Drosophila melanogaster: one gene and its partners. The protein of the gene in region 3 purifies or fractionates together with the protein of the main gene of each other region. This does not show direct contact. Each region holds a gene or a part of one and is shown on either strand. Other genes may lie near its edges. The genes, in order: Lst8, mTor, raptor and unk.

What was found.
Region 1: the proteins of raptor (region 3) and Lst8 purify together in Drosophila melanogaster (affinity purification with western blotting; 2 studies listed by BioGRID, with this or other methods). This does not show direct contact.
Region 2: the proteins of raptor (region 3) and mTor purify together in Drosophila melanogaster (affinity purification with western blotting; 3 studies listed by BioGRID, with this or other methods). This does not show direct contact.
Region 4: the proteins of raptor (region 3) and unk purify together in Drosophila melanogaster (affinity purification with western blotting; 2 studies listed by BioGRID, with this or other methods). This does not show direct contact.

The regions. Positions count from the first base shown.
Region 1 is NC_004354.4:9,603,654-9,607,544, reverse strand, and holds Lst8 (Lst8), read left to right. Parts: upstream 1-1,575; 5' UTR 1,576-1,669; coding exon 1,670-1,783; intron 1,784-1,839; coding exon 1,840-2,667; 3' UTR 2,668-3,391; downstream 3,392-3,891. Other genes in the region: LysRS (Lysyl-tRNA synthetase), read left to right, coding at 1-925, 992-1,072; Gga (Golgi-localized, gamma-adaptin ear containing, ARF binding protein), read right to left, coding at 3,532-3,744, 3,821-3,891. UniProt on the Drosophila melanogaster protein: Subunit of TORC1 and TORC2, which regulate cell growth and survival in response to nutrient and hormonal signals. Essential for TORC2-mediated regulation of cell growth and phosphorylation of Akt1.
Region 2 is NT_033779.5:13,002,260-13,007,726, forward strand, and holds the start of mTor (mechanistic target of rapamycin), read left to right. Parts: upstream 1-2,220; 5' UTR 2,221-2,526; coding exon 2,527-2,752; intron 2,753-2,807; coding exon 2,808-3,028; intron 3,029-3,171; coding exon 3,172-3,738; intron 3,739-4,090; coding exon 4,091-4,827; intron 4,828-4,886; coding exon 4,887-5,467. Other genes in the region: Vha68-1 (vacuolar H[+] ATPase 68kD subunit 1), read right to left, coding at 1-278, 364-1,061, 1,325-1,400. UniProt on the Drosophila melanogaster protein: Promotes cell and tissue growth, maintains tissue homeostatis and controls responses to environmental stress and aging. Regulates growth during animal development by coupling growth factor signaling to nutrient availability. Central regulators of autophagy.
Region 3 is NC_004354.4:6,086,824-6,092,112, reverse strand, and holds the start of raptor (raptor), read left to right. Parts: upstream 1-1,911; 5' UTR 1,912-2,406; coding exon 2,407-3,841; intron 3,842-3,899; coding exon 3,900-5,289. Other genes in the region: Mipp2 (multiple inositol polyphosphate phosphatase 2), read left to right, coding at 819-996, 1,271-1,704.
Region 4 is NT_033777.3:23,151,673-23,159,882, forward strand, and holds unk (unkempt), read right to left. Parts: upstream 6,191-8,210; 5' UTR 6,172-6,190; coding exon 6,107-6,171; intron 6,039-6,106; coding exon 5,829-6,038; intron 4,822-5,828; coding exon 4,402-4,821; intron 4,340-4,401; coding exon 4,137-4,339; intron 3,878-4,136; coding exon 3,768-3,877; intron 3,569-3,767; coding exon 3,460-3,568; intron 3,299-3,459; coding exon 3,173-3,298; intron 3,103-3,172; coding exon 2,522-3,102; intron 2,466-2,521; coding exon 2,268-2,465; 3' UTR 420-2,267; downstream 1-419. Other genes in the region: VhaAC39-2 (vacuolar H[+] ATPase AC39 subunit 2), read right to left, coding at 6,448-6,814, 6,882-7,567. UniProt on the Drosophila melanogaster protein: Essential for late larval/early pupal development.

The DNA of each region.
Region 1 (3,891 bases), 3.5 Mb from region 3:
CCTGGATCGTCTGGGTTTCCTGGAGATCGAGACGCCCATGATGAACATGATCGCCGGTGGAGCCACTGCCAAGCCCTTCGTGACGCATCACAATGACCTCAAGATGGATCTGTTCATGCGCATTGCTCCGGAGCTGTATCACAAGATGCTGGTGGTGGGTGGACTCGATCGTGTGTACGAGATCGGACGGCAGTTCCGCAACGAGGGCATCGACCTCACCCACAATCCTGAATTCACCACGTGCGAGTTCTACATGGCGTATGCCGACTACGCTGACATTATGGATATCACCGAGCAGTTGGTCTCGGGAATGGTGAAAGCGATCCGTGGCTCCTACAAGGTCATCTATCATCCGGAGGGTCCAGAGGGACCTGAGCAAGAACTTGACTTTACGCCGCCCTTTAAGCGCGTATCCATGATCAAAACGCTGGAAGAGAAGCTGCAGGTGAAGTTCCCCGCGGCCGACACCTTCAATTCGCCAGAGACGAATCAGTTCCTGTCTCAGCTGTGCGCTAAGCACCAGGTCGAGTGCCCAGCTCCGCGCACCACTGCCCGCCTGCTGGACAAGCTCGTCGGCGAATTCATCGAGGAGTTTTGCGTGAATCCAACGTTCATCTGTGAGCATCCGCAGATCATGTCGCCGCTGGCCAAGTACCATCGCAGTATTCCCGGCCTGACGGAGCGCTTCGAACTGTTTGTGGCCAAGAAGGAGATTTGCAACGCGTATACCGAGTTGAACGATCCGGTTGTGCAGCGCGAGCGTTTCGAGCAGCAGGCCAGCGACAAGGCGGCCGGCGATGATGAGGCCCAGCTGGTCGACGAGAACTTCTGCACGTCCCTGGAGTACGGACTGCCGCCCACCGGTGGTTTTGGCATGGGCATCGATCGCCTGGCCATGTTCCTCACGGACTCCAACAACATCAAGGTGGGTCTACACTTGGTCTTTAACTTATTGCAAGCGTTGCTAAATGAGGCTTCTTTTTTTTTGTAGGAGGTTCTGCTGTTCCCCGCCATGAAACCGGAGGATGCCAACCGCACGGCAGCGGAAACTGCTCCCACCGCACAGCAGTAGATGGCCAACGCCGCTCACTCCACTCAGACCCAATCCTTGTACGTTACGCTGGTCCCGGACTAATCCCAGTTGCTAAGTTATTCAACCAATAAACATTTTTCCCAATAACCAAAGCTGCGTCAGTTTCTTTTTTTTATTTTCTGCTAATGTCCGAGTTTTGGGATAATAAATATTATTAAGATAATTCTATAATACTTTATATGGAAAATATCTCGATTATATAAACCAGGTACCGTAAATTATCAAAATTTTTCAGTTAAAATTTTTTTGATTTGACATAATTTTTGTGTTATATCTAATCTAATGATTATTTATGCGGATAAAAGAAAGACTTGATATGTAAATCAGTACGCATTTTTGTAATAAAACCTAAAATTATACTGATATCAATTAATAGTGTTTTTTGAAAACGATTTTGTTGCTGCGCTTTAGGTTTTATTCTAATAAGAATATATTTTCGCGCTTACCAGCACCGCGCCACTTATCGATAAGCGCGATAGGCGCGTATCGAGGACCAATGGACCGATAGGTCTGGTGAAATGAAAACATTGGGGCAAAAAAACGCGGAAATTGTCAATTAATCTGTGCAATCACAGGATGGGGGACCAACAGCAGCTGATCCTGGCCACCGGTGGTTATGACCACACCATTAAGGTGTGGCAGGCGCACACGGGCAACTGCATTAAGACGATGAGATTCGTGGAGACCTCGGTAGGAATAAACCGATTCGTGCATTTTCCGGTTAACGAACATGCTTTAACTTGCAGCAAGTGAATGCGCTAGACAGGACACCGGATAAGACGCGACTGGCGGCGTGCGGATACCAGTGCATCCGGCTGTACGACCTGGAGTCCAACTGCACCGCACCGGTGATCAATTTCGATGGCGTGCAAAAGAATGTGACGCGACTTGGCTTCCAAGAGGACGGCAATTGGATGTTCACCGCCGGCGAGGATCATCACGTGCGGATCTGGGACATGATTGCCGCACCGCCACACTGTTCCCGGATCTTTGATTGTGAGGCGCCGGTAAATGCCGCCTGTTTGCATCCCAACCAGGTGGAGATCGCCATGGGCTCACAAAATGGCAGCGTCTTTCTGTGGGACGTCAAGTCGGAGCGGCACGAACGCATCGTGCCCGAGGTGGACGCATCCATTCAGGATGTTGCCATCTCGCCGGATGGCAGATACTTGGCGGCGGCCAATAACAAGGGCAACTGCTACATCTGGTCGCTGACCAGTCAGGATCAGAAGATGAGCACGCTGCGGCCGAACAGGAAAATTCCGGCCCACTCTCGCTACATACTGCGCTGCAAATTCAGTCCCGATTCCAGGCTACTGCTGACGACATCCGGCGATGGCACTGTGTGCATTTGGAAGACGGATGACTTTAGCAAATGGCGCGAGCTGTGCATCGAGAACTATTGGGTGTGGGATGCCGCCTTTAGCGCCGATTCTAAATGGCTGTTCACAGCCTCATCCGACGGCATTGCACGACTGTGGAAGCTGCAGACAAAGAGTTCGATTAGGGATTATACTGGTCACACCAAGGCCATCACTGCCCTGTCCTTCAAGGACGAGATCGTGGGCAAATAGCAGTAGTTGTAGTAGTAGTAGTAGTAGCTAGCGGCTAGAGTCTAGGCACTTTGTAAGTGGCTCCTGGTGGCGGATTTTCATTTGGCTTTCCCCAAAGATTGGCCTACTAGTTTTAGTCATTCTACCAATTAGCTGGCTTAAGTCCACACAAAATGAATGGCAATTGTAATGGTTTGTTAAGCATCGCGGTTTTAGTTTCTACTCTTAATTAGACTCAATGTTTTAGTTCAGCTTACGTTTCCCAATTAGATGCATATATATAAAATGGTAATTCATAGTCTCAAAAAAATTGATATCCTTAATGTTTGAAAAACTGCCAGCAGTGCTCATTAATTCACTTCCGAACTTAATTACGATCTATCTTAAGCCAGTTAAATCAACAAATATCTCAGATGTACAATCATCCGCAAAACCGCCAACCCAGCGAGACAATCCGCCAGGAACAAATAATTTGGCATTTTTTGAAACAGTGGGGAGAGTAGCAATGAATCCATATATGGGCAACACGACAACTGAACTGAACTGAAGCATCAACTAAAACAACATCCACACAACAATTGAACAGATTAATGAGAATACCTCTGAAAATGAGCGCTTGGCTTTTGTAGCGACTTTTTCATAATTTATAAACCTTTGATACATAATTATATTACGACTAAATCGTTTGTATGCAAAATGCAATTTGAATAAAAATCTTATCAGCGTACATACACATACAATACAGAAATTGAAAAACCAAAAGTATCTTTAAGATAATGGGGAGCACAACATAGATGCGGGAAAATTGACTGTCTTTCGTTCTTTTCATTTTCCTCCTGCGCTTTCAGTGGACGGGAGCGGGTGATACTTATATGTCGGGGTATTTTAGTCCACATAGTCAATGCCTTTGGCCACAATCGATTCCTTGATGGGATCCGGATCGTCGCCCAGCTTGTAGCCCACAATGCATGTTACGTCCACGGCCTTGCCTGTCGGATTTAGCAGGAGCATCACCTGGTTGATGGGCGTGGCCGGGCGGAAGGGCTTGTGCGGCGGCATTTGGCTGTCCGTCGGCGTCAACAGGCGCACCTTGCAGGGCTGCGGAATAGAATGATAGCTTGTTAGTCCGGTCACCTCGATGACCAGTAATCTTCTCCAGCTCTGATTCGCTCACCTTCTTCACGCTGGCCTCGAACTGAAAGTCGCGCACTGGCTGGCGACTCTTGTTCTGAGCCGATATCACAA
Region 2 (5,467 bases), on a different chromosome or scaffold from region 3:
CAACGGGAGGTGGAATCAGCCATCATGGCTACGTTGTAGCCCATATCACGGAAGTATTCAGACAGAGTGATTCCAGTGTAGATGGAGGCCTCACGAGCAGCCACCGGCATGTTGGAGGTGTTGGCCACCAGAGCAGTTCGCTTCATAATGGACTCGGTGACGCCATCTATCTCGCAGGTCAGTTCGGGAAAGTCACGCAGTACCTCAGACATCTCGTTACCGCGCTCGCCGCAACCGACGTAGATGATCACATCAGAGTTGGAGTACTTGGACAGGGCCTACGGGTGGTTGAAGTGCAGATTGGAAGGGATGGTCATTTAATGAGATGTAAGATGTGGATTAAGTGAATAATTTGCAACTTGCCTGCGAAATGACGGTCTTGCCGCAGCCAAAGGCACCGGGGATGGCAGTGGTGCCGCCCTGTACGCAGGGGAAGAGCGAGTCAAGGACGCGTTGGCCCGTGAAGAGCGGATGGTTGGCTGGCAGCTTCTCTGTGACGGGACGTGGCTGCCGCACTGGCCAGACCTGCAACATGGTGTGCTTGGTTATCTCGCCGTCGAACTCCGTCTCCAGGACAATGTCCTCCAGGTTGTAGTTGCCCGCGGGGGCAATGTATCGAACGGTTCCCTTAGCCCTGGGTGCCACAATCATGCGCTGCTTCACCAGCGTGTTCTCGTGTACCACTCCATACAGATCTCCTCCGGTGATGTGGGATCCCACCCGCACATTCAGCGGATTAAATTCCCACATCTCCGAGCGCGACAAAGCAGTTGTGTTGACACCTTTGGGTATATAGATGGAGTTGGTCATGACACCAATGTCCCGCAAAGGACGTTGGATGCCGTCGAAGATGCTGCCCATAATGCCGGGTCCAAGTTCCACGGAAAGAGGTTTGCCGGTACGCAGCACCGGATCGCCGACAGTCACGCCAGAGGTCTCCTCGTACACCTGGATGGTGGCCATGTCGCCCTCCAGACGGATGATCTCGCCCACCAGCTCGTAGTAGCCGACGCGGACCAACTCGTACATAGCTGATCCAGACATGGCCTCAGCGGTGACCACTGAAGTGGATTTAAAGTTGTTGAAGGAGGAAAAGCAGGAGAAATATGATTAGCAAGGAGTGGAGAGAGCAGCATAATGAGGAAGATTATGCGGAACAGGAGGAGGGGGAAGAAAGCATACAGAAATATGAAAAGGAGAAGGATAATAAGGAAGGATAAAAAGGAAGATGTGGAGGAGTATAATTAAGAACAGAAGAAAGGCAGGATTAAGGATTACAGAACTTGGGGGTCAGCGCATGAAGGACGCTGGTGACGTCGCTTACCTGGTCCGGATACCGCGTAGACACGGCCATATTCCGACTCGCGCTCCTCGTCTTTGAATTTCCTCAAGTTGGACATGGTCGCGGTTGCTGCTCTTCTTCTTCTGCTTCGGTAACGGTCAAATCGTTCGTTGGCTGTGGGAAAAAGTAACCGTTTTTCTTATAAACAAAAACACGCATTTTCCATGCCCCCGAATGAGAGAGCGTTTTCCGCGAGGAAACGCATAGGTGGCGCTGATGTGCAGCAGCAGCCCCCAGTGAAAAGCTTCACACCCCCGCAGCACAGCATCGATTTTCCAATACAATTTTCACACATGCCACCAACGGCAAGGTGAATTTTCCACCTTTTACCCATCACAAAAGCAATTTTCACACTTTCTTTTCATTCAACACCTTGTGGTCAGTGGTTTTGTGGCGTAAAAACTGCTTTTTCAGCTGCTCTAAAATTAAATAAGCTCACATTTGTTTCAACAGCTCTTATGAAAATTCTCTTGCTTTTTTGATTTCACTCTAGTATTGATCTATCGGTTATCGTCGAGGGCTCCAGGTTCTCTATAGAGATGGGCTCACATCAAACTCACGCACGTCACGATACATTAATAGTCGGATTCCACTAGCACATTCCGCAGTTAAATCTTGAAATACTTGTTGGTAATTATTAAAAATTTAACATAAGCTTGCATTTTTGTGCTATTTTCCAAATTCTTCAATGCAACTTGTTCACTCCAGTAATATAAATGTTTTGTACCACAACTTTAAGCCAATTTCTTTTTAATTGCTTATAATAAAGAACAAATTTATTAATTACTTTATTATTTTTATTTAATATGTTCTCTAACATTTTAAATGCTTATAAGTCGCCGCCAAGTACAGAAGTATCAGCAAGAAAATATCGATTGTAAATTGATCGAATTCTGTTTTACATCACTAATCGGCAGCGGCTGCAATAAATTTCCGTAAAAACCGAAGTAATCCGCAATTAAAGAAAGCAAAGGACCTGCATCCGTGTGAGATCGTTCGGCACCGGTGCCGGCACATGAAATCCTATCGAGTGACCAGTGGAACAGTGCGTACAGCGCCCCGGGGCAACTGAAAAGATAACCTCCAAAGTCCGTAGACAGCAGGCAGATGCACCTGCTCCACCCTTTCCCCTCCCAAATGCAAGTGAAAATCGCGTTTAAATAGTGAATAAACCCTGCCCAGCCATGTCGACGACGTCGGTGGTGCAGCAGTTCGTCAACGGGCTTAAGTCCCGCAACCGGAATGTACAGAACAAGGCAACCCAGGATCTGCTCTTCTATGTGAAGACCGAGCTACGCGAAATGTCCCAGGAGGAGCTGGCCCAATTTTTCGACGAGTTCGACCATCACATTTTCACGATGGTGAATGCGACAGATATCAACGAGAAAAAAGGCGGTGCCCTGGCCATGAGTGAGTTCCTGGCTCCCCGGCAGTGCTTGAGAGGATTTAACGTCTTCCCTTTCAGAGTGCCTGATTAACTGCGAGGGCAGTCTTACTGCCAGGAAGGGCATTTCGCCCTATCTCAACCGCCTGCGCGATCTTCTGCTAATCAACGATGTGTCCGTCATGGAGATTGCCGCCCGCTCCCTGGTCAAATTGGCCAACATGCCCACCTCCAAGGGCGCCGATTCCTTCGACTTTGATATTAAGAAGGCTTTTGAGGTGCTCAGAGGCGAGAGACAAGAGGTGAATTATAAGGGAAACCTACAAATTAAGCTTTTAAGTCTGATTTTGAGATGAAGATGGAAAAACTTTATAATGAAAATGAAAATAGTAGTTGTAAGCATGGCTAGAGTTATCCAAATTCATTTATATATTATTTTTTTCAGTACCGCCGCCATTCAGCCGTCTTTATCCTCCGTGAGCTGGCTATCGCCTTGCCCACATACTTCTACCAGCACATCCTGACCTTCTTCGAGGTTATCTTTAACGCCATCTTCGATCCCAAACCTGCTATACGAGAGTCAGCTGGCGAGGCTTTGAGGGCGGCTTTGATTGTCACCGCTCAGCGAGAGAGCACCAAGCAGTCCAGTGAACCACAGTGGTACAGAATCTGCTATGACGAGGCGAATGGAAGCTTCAATGCAGACTTGGGCTCTAGCAAGGATCAGAAAGGCGTGACCCGAGACGATCGCATTCACGGTGGCCTCGTCGTCTTCAACGAGCTCTTTCGCTGTGCCAATGCCACCTGGGAGCGGCGCTACACGTCTCTGAAGACGCTGTTCCCCAAGACCCAACACAATAAGTTCCTGGAGGCCAGCAGTTCGTCGAGTATGGGTTCCCAGCTGAATACTCTAGTGCCGCGGCTAAAGGTGCCCTTCATTGACAAGCTCGGCAGCACCCAAACGCATTTGGGTGAGGGAGAGCATCACAAAGGAGTTGCCAAGTTCGCGAGCGTGAGTCTAACGATCAAATACCTCCACACACGAATGTATTTGTCATTTTCATTTATTTACCTTTTGGTTTACGTAGTATGTACTTTACATGTATCTAAAAACCAAGCGATGCCTGACGGGAGGAAATCAGCTGACCTAATTATAGTTTAAAAATTGTGTAAAATGTAGCAGTAGAGTGTGATTCGTTACCAGTAGTAATTGTGGGGCGGCAATCATTTAGACAAGCATGTTTGTATTAAAATAGTATATTTTCCATTTGTTCATTACAAAAAAGATATTTTAATGTTTGTTAATTTAAAATACAAACTATTTAGTTATGTTTAAGCAAGTAACTAATAATATCGACATCCAGCAGCACAACGTACTGGAGTCCGCATATGCTCAGGAGATCCTTCAGGAGCACTACACCTCCATTTGCGACAATGTTTTGGAGCAGCGAACTTCGAAGTCTCCGTATGTACAGCAGGCACTCCTTCAAATACTTCCTCGATTGGCTGCCTTTAACCGCGCGGTGTTTGTGGAAAAATACCTGCAGACATGCGTGTCGCATTTAATGCAGATCCTGCGAGGCAAGGAGAAGGATCGCACGGTGGCGTACATAACCATTGGTTACATGGCTGTAGCGGTGCAGAGTGCGATCGAAGTTCATTTATCCAGTATAATGACTAGCGTGAAGGTCGCCTTGCCGTCAAAGGATTTGACCAGCAAACGAAAGGTACCAGTGGATCCTGCGGTCTTTGCCTGCATAACGCTTCTTGCTCATGCCGTTAAGTCGGAGATCGCCGACGATGTTAAGGATATCCTTGAGCAGATGTTCTACACGGGTCTCTCGCCAGCTCTGACTGTTTGCCTGAGGGAACTCTCCGAGAATGTGCCGCAGCTTAAGTCGGCCATTACAGAAGGATTGATCGGAATCCTATCCCAGGTGCTGATGAACAAGGCGGCAATTTTACCATACACTGCTTTGCCAACGATCGCCATCGATGGCTCGCTAATGCAGAATGGTGACGGAGCAACCACAGTGCTGGCACTCAAAACGCTGGGTACCTTCAACTTTGAGGAGCAAAACATGCTGGACTTTGTGCAACGGTAATTTAATTTAATTTACTATATTTTAGTTATATTACAAGGTTTGATTTCTTTTTCAGATGTGCTGACTACTTCATCGTTCACGAGCAGCAGGAGATTCGTCTGGAGGCAGTGCAAACATGCACACGACTCCTTAAACTGGCAGTGCAATCCTCTGAAAGTATGGAGAACTCCAAGACCCTCAGCGACACCGTTTCCCACGTGATTGAGCGCCTGCTTATGGTAGCCATTACTGATATGGACTGTAATGTGCGAATACGAATTCTACGTTCGCTGGACGAGACCTTTGATGGGAAGCTTGCTCAGCCAGAGTCTCTAAATTCGCTATTTATTACGCTGCACGATGAAATCTTTGAGATCCGGGAGCTGGCAATGGTTACCATTGGAAGATTGTCGTCCATAAACCCGGCTTATGTGATGCCCAAGCTAAGAACCACCATGATCGAATTGATCACGGATCTAAAGTACTCGGGAATGAGTCGAAACAAGGAGCAGAGCGCAAAGATGCTTGACCATTTGGTGATAAGCACGCCCAGGCTAATATCCTCTTACATGAATCCGATCCTCAAAGCCTTAGTGCCCAAGTTGCATGAGCCGGAATCGAATCCAGGAGTTATTTTAAATGTGCTTCGCACAATTG
Region 3 (5,289 bases):
CCAAATGGACAACTACTCCCAGCTACCGGTTACCTGGAACTTTAGTTTTGGCGCAAAACTTTTGGCATGTGCGTTTCAGCTATTCCTTTTTTCACTATTGACATTTGCGGATTGTGGCTCCTTGGGCGCCATATGGCAGCCAAAAAGCAACGAGGAGAACCTCGATAAGCACAAATTTTAACCGAAACTCTTAGGAACAAAAACTGAGTGACCACACGAAACGAATTCAGGGGTGTTAATTATTTATTGCAATTTTAAGTTGTGTGTAAGTTTCTCGTTTTATTCTTGGACAGGATATTCAAAATGCTTCCCTTGCCAACGCTTATTCCTTTTGCGTGTTTGGCGTGCGACTAAACCATTTTTTAATCGCTTAGTTTGCCGGGCCGGTTAAAACAGAGCTTTTTGAGGCAGAAAGCTCGATTGGGCGAAGTGAACACTTGTTGAGTGGCAATGCGCTGATTTAGGCACCTGCAAATCTAACTAAATTTATTATAAAATAGTGTTAATAAAGCTTCCTGAAATGAGTAATCAACCAAGCACTTACAACTGATGCCATCGAAGATGCTATTTAAAAATACCGCCAACTGGCGGTGGAAACGGGTTTTTTTTGGCTGCCCCATGTGTTAGGGCTGCCAGCTGAGCTGATAGCCTTGCCACCTTGCGCGACTAGCACACTTGTCAATTTGTTTTTCTTTCGTGTTTATTATTTCCTAGATTTCTTTTGAGCTGGCATTTCGTTCTGTTTTTCACGTTTTAACCCCGTTTTTCGGTAAACCTCGTTTCTAATCTCGTGACAAGTTTTTCCACCGCCCGGAAAGATGCTAAGCCAATTTTACTGCTTGTTTTTGTTGCTCCTCCACTTCTTCGTGGGCGTGACGTTGTCTGAAGAGGGGGAGTGCCGCCGCCTTAATCGCGCAGATATCGAGGGCAGACTGTCCACAAAGACGCCCTACAGAGCGATCGCAAATTATGACGAAACGCCACCGAAATACGCCGGTTTGTATTTTTGTTGTTTTCTGTGTAACGCACCCACAGTAGGCACCCGCTTAGAAATACAAACATGTGTTGTGCCATGTGACAGTTAACAGCGCTCGCTTAATACAGTGAATTCATAATCATGAAAGCATATGGATTCTTTATTGATCATAAAACAGAGAATCGCTTTAGATTTGTTATTATACTATTACTAGTTTATTATTACCGATGCCTACTGCTAGCAAATGGCAATGGAACAGCTGATTTTTCTCTTTTAACCGTTTCACCCGACAAGGCTGCCATCCGACGCGAATTTGGACCATCATCCGACACGGAACTAGAAATCCTAGCGAATCCGTTATCCTTCAGGCGCAAAATCGACTATCAGAGATAAAGAAACGCATTCTGGATCAGACGAAGCCGCCGATCTGCACCGCTGAATTGGAAAAGCTGCGCCAATGGCACTGGATGCATCTGAATGCCACTGAAGATGAGAAATTACTGGTGGCCGAGGGTGAGGATGAGCTGATTGAGCTGGCGGAACGGATGCAGCGGCGATTTCCGGATCTACTTCCGGAGTTGTACAATCCGGAGTGGTACTACTTCAAGTATACTGCGACCCAGAGAACGCTGAAAAGTGCGGAAAGCTTCGCTACGGGTTTGTTCGGCCGTCATCGCATCCATACTGTACGATATCCGCCGCCTTTGCACGAGGATCCTGTTTTGCGGGTGAGCAGTCCTTTAGTTTTTTCTGTCAATGTAACCAAAACAAACTTTTGAATTACGCGCTACAAATGAGCTTGTAATGATCTGGCAACGCCATTCATTACAGCTAGGCCATTTCGCTGTTAGTTTATTATCGATATCAATGTTGTAAACCGCTTGCCAGCGTGCAATCGAAAAAATCATCGATTTTTGTTCCAGCTCTATTTTCTGCGCAATTCTTTTCGTATAATATAATTCGATTAAACATAAATAAATAAACCCAAGCGAAAGTAAATAAACCTGTTAATGCGCACCATCTTCCGTCGGAGATCGCTCGCTATAGTTGTACGGTTTTTATTTTGTCCCGGCATCGACCTAATCAGCCCAGGCGGCGTGTTTTCCCCGAGTTCTTTTTACCCGTTTTCGGGAAATGGTCCGCGATCCGTAGGCGGAAAACGTGGAGAAGAGGAACGTGGAAAGAAAAGCAGAAAAGCGCGGAGCGGAGCTGAGGAGGCGCTGGCGGTGGTGGAGGTGCGGAAAGTGCGAAAAGTGTTTGGGGTTATGTGCTAGAGTCCCCTCGGGGGGATTTTTAGCTGATTGAATCCGCGACCGAGACGTAATCGCTCCGGGAAATCGCTCGCATTGAGCTGCACCCTCTCCTCGGCAAACGGAAAAAGAAAAAAAGCAATACAGCGAGAAACGAGAGAAACAAAAAGCACGCAGAACATGACAAGTGCCGTTCGCGCTAAGTCCGCCGCTGCCGCAGTCGGCGTCGCAGTCGACGAAAGCAGCGGCAGCAGCAACGGCAGCGTCGCGGATCAAGAGGTGGCCTCCAGCAAGGAGGCCGTCCTGAGCGTCCTAATCCGCAAGAGATACGAGAAATATGTATTCGCCCCGTGGGACGATCCGATAATCTTGATAATGGAGCAACTGGAGCACATCGAGCACTGTCGATCCGCCGCCTTGGGGAACCAGGTGGCCATCGGCCGGGACCCATCTCAGGACGACTCTCTGAACGACCTGGGTAAGGTGATTAGCAACATGAGGCAGGACCAATCACTGGTACCAATCGTGAAGCACATCGAGCAAATATCCGACATTCAGGCCTCCAACGGCCAGGAACTGGCCTCCCTCGGTTCTTTGAGGGAGCTAATCCGGACTATCAGAAAGGAATGGCCCCGGGACGACTCTATCAAACTGCGGTTGAAGGAAATACAGATCCTGGGCATGCCGCCCGCTCGGAGCTTATGCTTCGGCGAGCGTATCCGCGACGACAGGTGCCCGCTCTCCCTGCAGACTAAAAGGCACAAGGAGCGCATCCAGGCCATGATGTACGAGAGACAGCCGTGGCGCATCCGCGAGCGCATGAAGACGGCAAGTGTGGCCCTGGTTCTGTGCCTCAACATCGGCGTGGATCCGCCGGACGTGGTCAAGATCCAACCCTGCTCACGGCTAGAGTGCTGGATAGATCCCAGCTCGGTGTCCCCGCCAAAGGCCATGGAACTCATTGGAAGCAACCTGCAGATGCAGTACGAACGCTGGCAGCCAAGGGCCCGGTACAAGAAGTGCAACGATCCCACCGTGGATGACGTTAAGAAGCTCTGCACCTCCCTACGCCGGAACGCCAAGGGGGAGCGCATACTCTTCCACTACAACGGACACGGAGTGCCCAAGCCCACAGCCAACGGGGAGATCTGGGTGTTCAACAAGACCTTCACGCAGTACATCCCCCTGAGCATATTCGAGCTTATCACTTGGATGTCAGCGCCCTCCATCTACGTGTATGACTGCTCCAACGCCGGGATCATCATCAATTCGTTTCAGCCATACGCTAAACAGCACGAGGAAGAACTAGGGAAGGCGCTGGCCGCCGCCCAGCAGAGGGGTGGTGTCCAACAGTTAGTGGGCGGCTCTGGTGGTGCCGCCAACGTAGCCGCCAACCAGGTGCAGTTAACCAACCAGATGGTCAGTTACAAGAACTGTATACACCTGGCTGCCTGTGCTGCAAACGAGATTCTTCCGATGAATGCACAGCTGCCGGCGGATCTTTTCACCAGCTGTCTGACAACACCCATTAACATAGCGCTCAAGTGGTACGCCATGCAAGAAAAGCTGGGCATGGTACCGCGTATTCAGAGCGAACTGATCGACAAGATTCCAGGTAAGGTTATACCTTTACTCACCCAGGGAATGCTGTTAACCATTAAATTCTATCGCAGGCAAGGTCAACGACCGGCGCACTATGATGGGTGAGCTTAACTGGATCTTCACCGCCATTACGGACACGATAGCATGGAACACACTTCCTCGCGAGCTCTTTCAGCGCCTGTTTCGCCAGGATCTGCTGGTGGCCAGCTTGTTCCGCAATTTCCTGTTGGCCGAGCGCATTCTGCGAAGCCACGACTGCACACCAGTTTCCCTGCCTGCCCTGCCGCCTTGTTATCGCCATCCGATGTGGAAGGCCTGGGATCTGGTGGTAGATTTGGCTCTACAGCAGCTGCCGGAGATTCTCGATCACAATGCGCCGTACCGCCAGCTGCCATTCTTCGAGCACCAGCTCACGGCCTTCCAGGTTTGGCTGGACAGCGAATCGGAGTCGAGAACGCCACCGGAACAGCTGCCCATTGTGCTGCAGGTCCTACTGTCGCAGGTGCACCGTCTGAGGGCCTTGGAGCTGCTGGCTCGCTTTCTGGATCTTGGTCCGTGGGCCGTTAATCTCGCCCTGGGCGTGGGCATCTTTCCATACGTGCTTAAACTGCTGCAGAGTTCTACGCGCGAACTGCGACCCGTTTTGGTGTTCATTTGGGCCAAGATCCTGGCCGTGGATCCCAGCTGCCAGGTGGATCTGGTCAAGGAATACAAGTACTTCCTCTCCGTGCTGCAGGACACCTCCGTTTCCAAGGAGCACCGTACACTGTCCGCCTTTGTATTGTCCTCCATAGTGCACAACTTCCTGCTGGGACAGACGAGCGCGCTTCAAGGTCCCCTACTGTCTATTTGCCTTGAGCAGTTGAACGACGGAAGTTGGCTGCTGCGCCAGTGGCTAGCCATCTGTCTGGGCATGCTGTGGCAGAACTTTGAGAAGGCGCGTTGGTCGGGAGCACGCGACCTGGCGCACGAGAAGCTGTACGTACTGCTGCGGGACTCGATACCGGAAGTGAGAGCCGCTGCCGTCTTCGCCTTAGGCACATTTATTAGCTCCGTGACGGATCGTAGCGAGGAACAGGCCAATAATATCGATCGCATCATTGCCATTACCATGCTCGAAACCGTCGGCGAGGATATGTCGCCGCTGGTCCGCATGGAGCTGGCCGCCGCCCTGCAATGGATGGTGGTGCTCTTCGAGTCACAGTTCGTGGCAGTATATCTAACTGAACACATGCGCGGTCACGTCTCCGCCGCCTCGTTCGTGATGTGCCCCGATCCCCGGGATCTGACGTCTTCCACGCACAGCCTGGAGCGTCATGTGACCATTCGCAGGGGAGCCAGCTCCAGCTCCATATCCAACATGGGTGGTGCGTCAATAAGCTCGGGAACAGGATCATCCAGCAACCCTTTGGGTCGCTCGAAGAGTGGTTCTGGCAGTTCGGGTGGAAGAGGAGCAGCCGG
Region 4 (8,210 bases), on a different chromosome or scaffold from region 3:
AATATATATGTATGTAACGTACATATACTTTTCGATCTGGTTTCTGTTTGATTCTTCACAGTTGAGATGGCGTGAAATGGATTTCTTGACATGTTGTAAAATTGCTTTGCATTGGTTTGTTTTGGAATGGGGTTGAAAAAACGCGTAGTTCGATAGACATCCCATGTACATCTCGTGGAGATTCATAAAGTAAATTAGCAAATCTTTCAAACTGTGTCTCCGGTGATGAGAGTCAGTGATATTCTGAGAGAGGTATGCATTCAGTTTTCAGTTTAGTTTGGTAATACACACAATAGATTTGCGACTCAACAGCTCCATTATAAAACCAATTTTCTCATTGTTTGTTCTCGTGATTTTTAGTTTTTTTGTGTACACTTGTATCATAAACTATTAAAGCATTTATAAGTTAACACACAATTGTTTATTGTTATATTTATTAATTATTTGTATTTCTTGCTGATTTGGCTTCTACAAAACATAGTACAAACACACACAGAGATAAGAGCCTTTGCGCTGCCTTTCCTAGTTAGCTTTGTAATAATATAATTCAGTTTTTCATTTGTATATATATATTCATAGTGTTGCTTTTGTTTCAAATAAATGCCTATGTTGATTTCATATTCATATTCAATTCATTCCCAGAACAGTTTCATTTTGATTACATCTTTATCAATTCAACTCAACTAGCTAACAACACGTTTCAGTTTCATTCAACATTGTCCAATTGATTACGTTTGATAATTTTAATTCGCAGAAAAATACAATGGTTTTTGAAGACGGTTTTACATTAACTCTGGTTAACATTTTCATTAAACTCTGTTCATTTCGCTGTATCGAGTTACTTTTATTGTTTATGCTTTCAACATCACACTCATCGAATCTGCGTTCAAATTTCCCATAAATATATATCTGTTCATATTCGTTCTTGTACAATCAGCCAAATGCTGGATTTAATATGACTTAAATACTACGTTTTGACATTGACGATTCATTTTATGCTTTTACTAATTTGGAAGCGTCCAGTTGAGACTATGAAAGTAAAATGAAAATTGAAGTCATCTGCAAAGTAAGTACTTAAAGCACTATTCAAATCACAAAGTAACCTAATAGATTATATACGTAAGTTGATAATTTTGTGACTGGTTAATTGGCATTGGCTTACACGAGCTGCACCAAGGCCTAAACAAAAATCAAAGTGTTTTAATACATTCAACTTGGTTTTCAATAAGACAAAATGAAATGAACTTTCGATAAGGAAAAGCGTTGTCGCCTTTAGTTACTTCTCGTTTCAACGTCTATAATTACTTTTGTGCATTTGAAAAAGGAAAATAAAAGCTGAGTACTGACTAATATTGATTACCCGTCAGTTACATTGATTTTATGACCATTGTCTTGGCTTTTAGTTGTAGTTTGCATTCACAAGTTTGAAACACATACATAAAAAATACAGTTTGAAAATCGGCTTATATAAAATCACTGGTGGTATTTGTTTGTTTGTGGTTGTTTTCTGCTCTTCTATGCGACAATATATTGTTAAATTTGTTGGTTTCTATAAATTTGTTAATAGTCAATTGCTAAAAGTGTCTAGAAAAATTAATATATTATATATTTATATATCTTTCATTCAATTACATCTTGTAATTGTTTAGTTCTCATAATTTCTTATGTAATACTAGTGAAAAGTACAATATGACTGAAAGTGTAGCATATTTAAATACAAATATAGAGATACATATGTGGTTAAAAAAAAAATAAATGAGACATTGCAAATTCGTGCAGTAGATTAGAAAATATGTATGCCTAAACATTGAATATTAAACAAAATTAAAAGAGTTGGTTACATAAATCATAGTACAAAATCAATTTAAAATGTTTTTTCCTGTATTCGATTCGATATGAGAAAAAATAAACAAAAATAAAATTACATACTTATTCGTTTAGAGCAGCTAGCTAATTCAATTAATAGTTTGTGCCTAGTAATTACTAATATTCATGACGATAATTTGCATATTTTGAGTAGATTGAAAACATAAATTATATATTCCCTGCCACATGCACAATTAGTAGGCATGTGTCAAATCCTAACTGTTCAAAAGTTTCAACGTTTTGCTTAAGACTAAAGTTTGCTTTGTGAGTACCACATTGTCATGCTGTTCGCGGTCTTGATCCCCATGATCCATTCATATCCCATCGGAATCCCCTTTCCCATCCCTATCCGATTTTCAGCCAAAGGGCCACTTGTGGTCCTGTTGCTGATAAAACATGTTCTAGGTGTGGGTGGTTATTACCGGCACCTGACAGTAGGGACACTCGGTGACCGATTCAGCGCATGTATTGCAAATAGACAGGTGGTTGCACGGCTCCAGAGTAACCGTGCGATTGTTCTCCTCGCACTTCATGCACTTCTTGGCATTTTCTAAATATAATACTTTGTCGACCTCCTCCAAGTCGGTGCGCAGCTTGGACTAAAATGGTAGCAGGTTAAAACCCATGGAATTGGGAAATTAATTAAGCGACTAACCTGCAATTGCTTCAATTTCTGTATGGACAAGTCCCGAAGCTCTGCTGGCAAATTTAGCTGTATCTGTGCTAGGTCATAGCGCTCCTTCCACTCCTGCGCCTCCTGCTTGGCCTTGTCCCGATGGAGCTCCGCGATCTTTAGCTTGCATGCCATGTCCTCGAAACGTCCGTTCAACTTGTGAATTTGAGCATTCTTCGTGAGCAGCTCATTGGTGATGCGACCCAAGTCGCTGTTGTTTTGCGACTGCAGAGATTGAAGGCTAAACGCATTCTTGGCCGTATTGAGAGTGTTCTCGAACAGACTATTTCCCACCGAGCTGCTGTTGATGTCGTCGCGTATGGTATTCAATTCGGATATCCTTACCGAAGGACTAATCGACAAGCCATCGCCAAAGCCAGGCGATATGATGCGCGACGGAAAGAAGAGACTGCTATCGTTCTGGGTGGCCGAAAGGGAATTGCTGAGTTTGTTTGAGCCGCCATAGTTGAAGGCGTCCACGTTGAAGAGATTGGCATGGTTGGTGGGACTGTAGGTGAGCGAGCTGCTGGGAATGTTGACGGCAAAGCTACCTGAGTTAAAATCTGTGCAAATGGAATGGAGTATTAGCATTAGCAATTAGTTGGCACTCATAGGACGTTGATGACTACTTACCGTTAATTGAGTTACTTAGAGTCGTATTAGGAATGTTAATTGGCGCCGAGGAACGTGTTAATAAGCTAGTATTGGCCAGACTCGCCGACAATGAGTTCTCGCGCGGATCGTCCATTGAGCAAGCTGCTTGCAAAGAGTGAAGACAAAAAATTATTGAATTTCAGTTAGGCTAGGGGTCACGACATTTGCTATCTAAGCGCTGACATTCTTTGTCCACAACCAAAACGAAGAACTGATTTCTAGTGTATAACTTAGACGTACGCATGTCAGGACTCTGGGATACTCACAACGACTGTCCAGGGGTCGTGAGAAACTTAAAAATTTGCTGAAATTTGTTGTGTTTTCCAAAGCGTCTACCAACATTTTATTGGTGCTATTACCATCAATGTTCAACAACTAAGAGAACAAAACGAAAAGAAAAAAATCGAGGAGAGCAGGACACATGATTAAATGGCTTATCGAAAGTGTTAAGCAGTTAGTTGATGATGGTTAGCTGGATTAGAGCGGCAAACGATGTGTGGTAGTACGTTTAGGTTTAGGCGATGCAAATCGATGGCGTTATTTGGATGAGTGTTATTGCTTCGGTAATACGTACATTATCGACCCTTTGAAACGCATCCTGAGCTTTTAAATCAGGATAGGCATTGGAAATAAGCTCGTTTAGGTATACCGTGTGATCCCGCGTCTTCTCGTCAATTGAACATGCTTTATTTGGATTGGGAGTAGTTACATGGACAAGCAACACCGAGCGGCAAAGCAAACATTGATTGATGTACGTGTTTTCAAAGGATTTGAGTGATAGTTGGAAACAGATTTGCGGTTTGATGGATGAGGCGAGTAAAAGACAAACATTAAGTTAGAACTGTAATATCATAACTTGGCCCTAAACACATCCCTACAACAACTGGTTGTGGAGCACAACGCTGAGTCCTATATATTAGCTCATCGAATCCTCTATACTTACGTTCCACATGGGCAAAGGCGCAGAAGACGCTGCGCGGACAGTATCCGGCCTGCTGGACATCGTTGCACTTGGTCGACTTGTAGATCTCCGGGTGGAACTGCTGCTCGGTGCGTGTGTGGCAGTACTGGCAGTTATCGCCGGCCTCGCAGTTGCCCGGTTCTCCCCATTCCTCGCCGTGCTTGACATTGGGGCAAGGAGTGGACCTAAAACAATGGTATATCGCGGTTTAAAACTGACTTTAGGATGAATTCAGGGGAAATCTTACCTGTACTTGTATTTTCTGGGCGAGCGACGTTTGTCCTTGCTATTGTGGTACTGTGGACAAGCGTATCCTTGGCGGCACAGGCGCGGTGGGCGCTTGCAGGGCTCTGTCTTGTAATTGGCCAGCACGTAGTTGGTGTCCTGCCACTTGGGATCCTCGTTCATCAAATTGCGCTCCTTGTCCAGGGCATTCAAAGCATTAGTGCTGTCCAGTGTGCTCTCTGCGTTCTGCAGGGTCTCCAGCTCTTTGATGTCATAAACCGGTGGGCGCTGGTCCTGCATGCCGTGGGCGAAGGCGCAGTGTAGTCCATTCTTGACGCAGTATCCTCGGCTGTCGGTGTCGTGGACGCACATGCATGTCTTGTAGTAGCGCAGATGGTATCGCCTTTCGGTGTCGCCAGCAGTGCGGTGTAAGTAGGGGCATCTAAATGGGGAGAAAGGGAGTTTTAGTGACGTCAAAGCAGGCGACGAGGCTAAGTGAATGGACTGTATGATACCCATTAATTAAAAAGAACCGTAACAAAAAACAACAAAGTTGTACATTTACAGCAAAATCATCATTTTAATACATGTTTGAGGGTATTTCTTTAATAAGTAAAAGAAATTTCTCTTTCAAAACTAAAACCGCTTTCTTTCCACCTTCGTACCCTGTAAGGAGACTACAACGATAAATGGATAGAATGGAGGTCGGGGTCAGAGGTTGGACCTCGAGTCTGGGTCATAAAAACAGACATTGTTGTTGTCTCTCGCAAAGCGTAATTGCGTTTTACTTTTAGCCCGTTCTTACACTTCACAGAGCTTTTCTCCAAAGCTCGCCAGCCACAATAACTGTACATTTCGAAGCTGCCGGGGGAAAATCAAAATAAACGAAGAAGAAAACACGCAAAAGCGAAACGCAATAAAAACAATGACGCACACACTTGTAGCGATGCCCTACGTCTGTGCGTGTGTTTGTTTGTGCGTACCTGTGTGTATGCGAGCGTCTGTGCATGTATACATGCGACAAGAGAGCAACAACCACCACAAAACGGATGCTGATAAGAATTTGCTAGCCCACTAGAGCTGGAATCACTTTCACTTTTGCACGGTGGTGACCTCGCCTGCACACACATACACATGCACAGAGATACAGCAAGCAGCACGCCCACATACGCACTTACAATTTCACTTTTGGCTTTCCAGACAACGCCAGGCCCCTGCCACCGCCCCCACCACACCCCCCTGCACACAAACACACTATGGTTTTTGTTTGTAAACACGAAGACAAGAGATACACACACATCGCGAAGGAAGGAGAGCGCAAAGAGGAAACAAAAAAAATACAACGTCGTTCGCTATTGCTGTCTCATCCATCCTCCGCCACTGCAATCGTCCCGTCCAGCGTTTTCACGGGCCATCAGAAACTATGAATTTCACAACATTTCTACTCACTCGTCGCCCTCGGGACAAATCCCAGTGGTCTCGTCGTATTTGGTGCAATAGTTATCCGCACTGTAGTTGAAGGTGCCATCGCGTTTTCGCACTGGACGACGCCGACGCTGGTTTTGAAAATGCCAATTGAAACAGACGAAGGGGCGATGCTGGTTGCACTTGTGCTGTAAAAACGACTGGCACTGCTCCACGCGGAACTCCTTCAGGTAGCTGAAACGGTTGGCGGAAAGGTTGCACGTCAAATTAACCATCGTTTGCATTAGTTAGCATCTATTTACGTGTAGTGATTTGGTTTTTCCTGCTGCGAGGAAAGCAGCAGCTTGTTCGTTTCATTTGCCAACATCGTTGTTAGTGATGTGCAAAAAACATCGGTGCGTCGGGCATCCATGGCCTTAAGTCGATTGATATCGATAATTTTTGTCGGCATCGTCCATATCGATTGGTTAGCAAATACACACACCCCAGTTGATGGGTGGTTAGCCGGGACGCAAACGAAACAAATTTGGCGCCAAAATTAATGCGAAATTGTTATGCATGTGTTTTATTTATAACAACGCCTATATATTATAACACACATTTCAAAGGGAAAACATTTCGAAGAAGGAAAGCAAAAGCGTTTCTAGTCCAAGGGTATGGGAATGAAGGCGTTGATTCTGTCCGTCTGTCGCTGCGCTATGCATTCGCTAATCCAGACGATATTGCGTACCTCCAACTGTTTAAGTTTAATGAACGAGTAGAAGATCCCGAAATGGTACTGCTGCAGGAAGGTCTGCACATTCTTCTTGGCCTCCATCATGAGAAAGCGGTCCTCCAGCGTAATCATGCCGTCCGAGTCGCGCTCCAAATTGTCAAACATTTTGCCATAGCCATCGAACACATTGCAAACATCCCTTATTTTATCCGTATCATTTAAAGTGGACATGGAGGCCAAGGCTATTTTGGGCAGGTAGCCACAGGTGGGGAACATCTTTAGACGCTCCTTCGGTCTGAGTGTTGGAAGGTGGGCATTATGAGTATAATATGAAGAATTTCATAGCAACACAGATATCTTACATGATATCACTGCCAATAGCGTTCACAGCTATTGTAATGGTCCGACGATCCGCCTCGAAGGACAATAGATTGGTCATCACGTTGGCGGTATTGCCGCCCAGTTGGCTGCAATAGGCGTAGAATTTCTCCAAATAAGCACGATACAGATGGGCACGCACAATCTCCACGTCGAGGTAACGCAACGACTCCATGGGCAAATCGCGTGGCACAAACCGAGCGATGGGCGTGTCAATTAGAACGGCGTCGAAGAGCTCCGCAGAATTCGAGGCCACTTCGATGGCGCCCAGTTGATCGAATTCGCCCAGCGGATGACACATTCTTAGCAGACGCTTCATGGATCGGTGATTGTTTAGGCCAGCGACCAGAAGCGCCACATTATCGATCATGAACGGATATCGTATGAACTCCATAAAGGTGGTCAGCGGCTCCGTCGAATGACTGCGTATGTAGTAGTATTGCTGCAGCAGACGATCCCTAAGGCATCTTTCGATCACCTCAACGGACGGCGCTGATTGTTCGCCACCAAAGATGAGACCGTAATCCGTGCCCTGGATGCTGATCATTACGTCCTCGAGGGATTCACACTGGGTCAGATTTAGATAGTCCGAGTGCTTTAGCATGCCGTTCTTGAATCCGCGCGTTAGGGCCTCCAGGTAGCCATACTCCGTGTTGAATATCATCGACATTTTGACTTATTATTATTTTCGAGCTATCTATTAGTAGGAATTCACACGCCAGGCAACTTTTAAGTGAAAGCAGAAATTGATAGATGGAACATGCGGTGATAGGTATTTCTCGGATGAACTGATTCTGATATAAATACTAAGGATTCTAGATGCTAAAATAATATTTATTAAGCTACAAATATATTTATATATAATATTTAAATATTCGGTGGCGGTATCTACCGATGCACGCTAGATGGCGCTACCGATGGTGCAAGGCTGCCATTCGTTTATCCTTTTTGACAATATGGCAGCGCTCTAACGGTTTTTTAAATTTTAACTTTAAATTTGAAAAGATATTATTTGTTTGGTTTGTTCGTTTTAAAGTGCATCCAACTAGATTATTTTAGTTATAAGAAAATGCACCTAGTTAAAGCTTGCTATTTGAATTTCAGATAGCTATTTATCGGCCCATTCTAACGCAATTTCCGCACATGCGCCTGGAGGATGCTGTACGGAAATTACCTGTTGCTCTGGGCCATTTGTTTACTTGCTGCCAACTCTGTTTGTTTACTCAGTCAACTAGCTGCGCTCGGGCCAATAGCATACTAACTGCAAGTTGTTACACGTTCATTCAACTAGAACAAATAAACATGTGAATTTC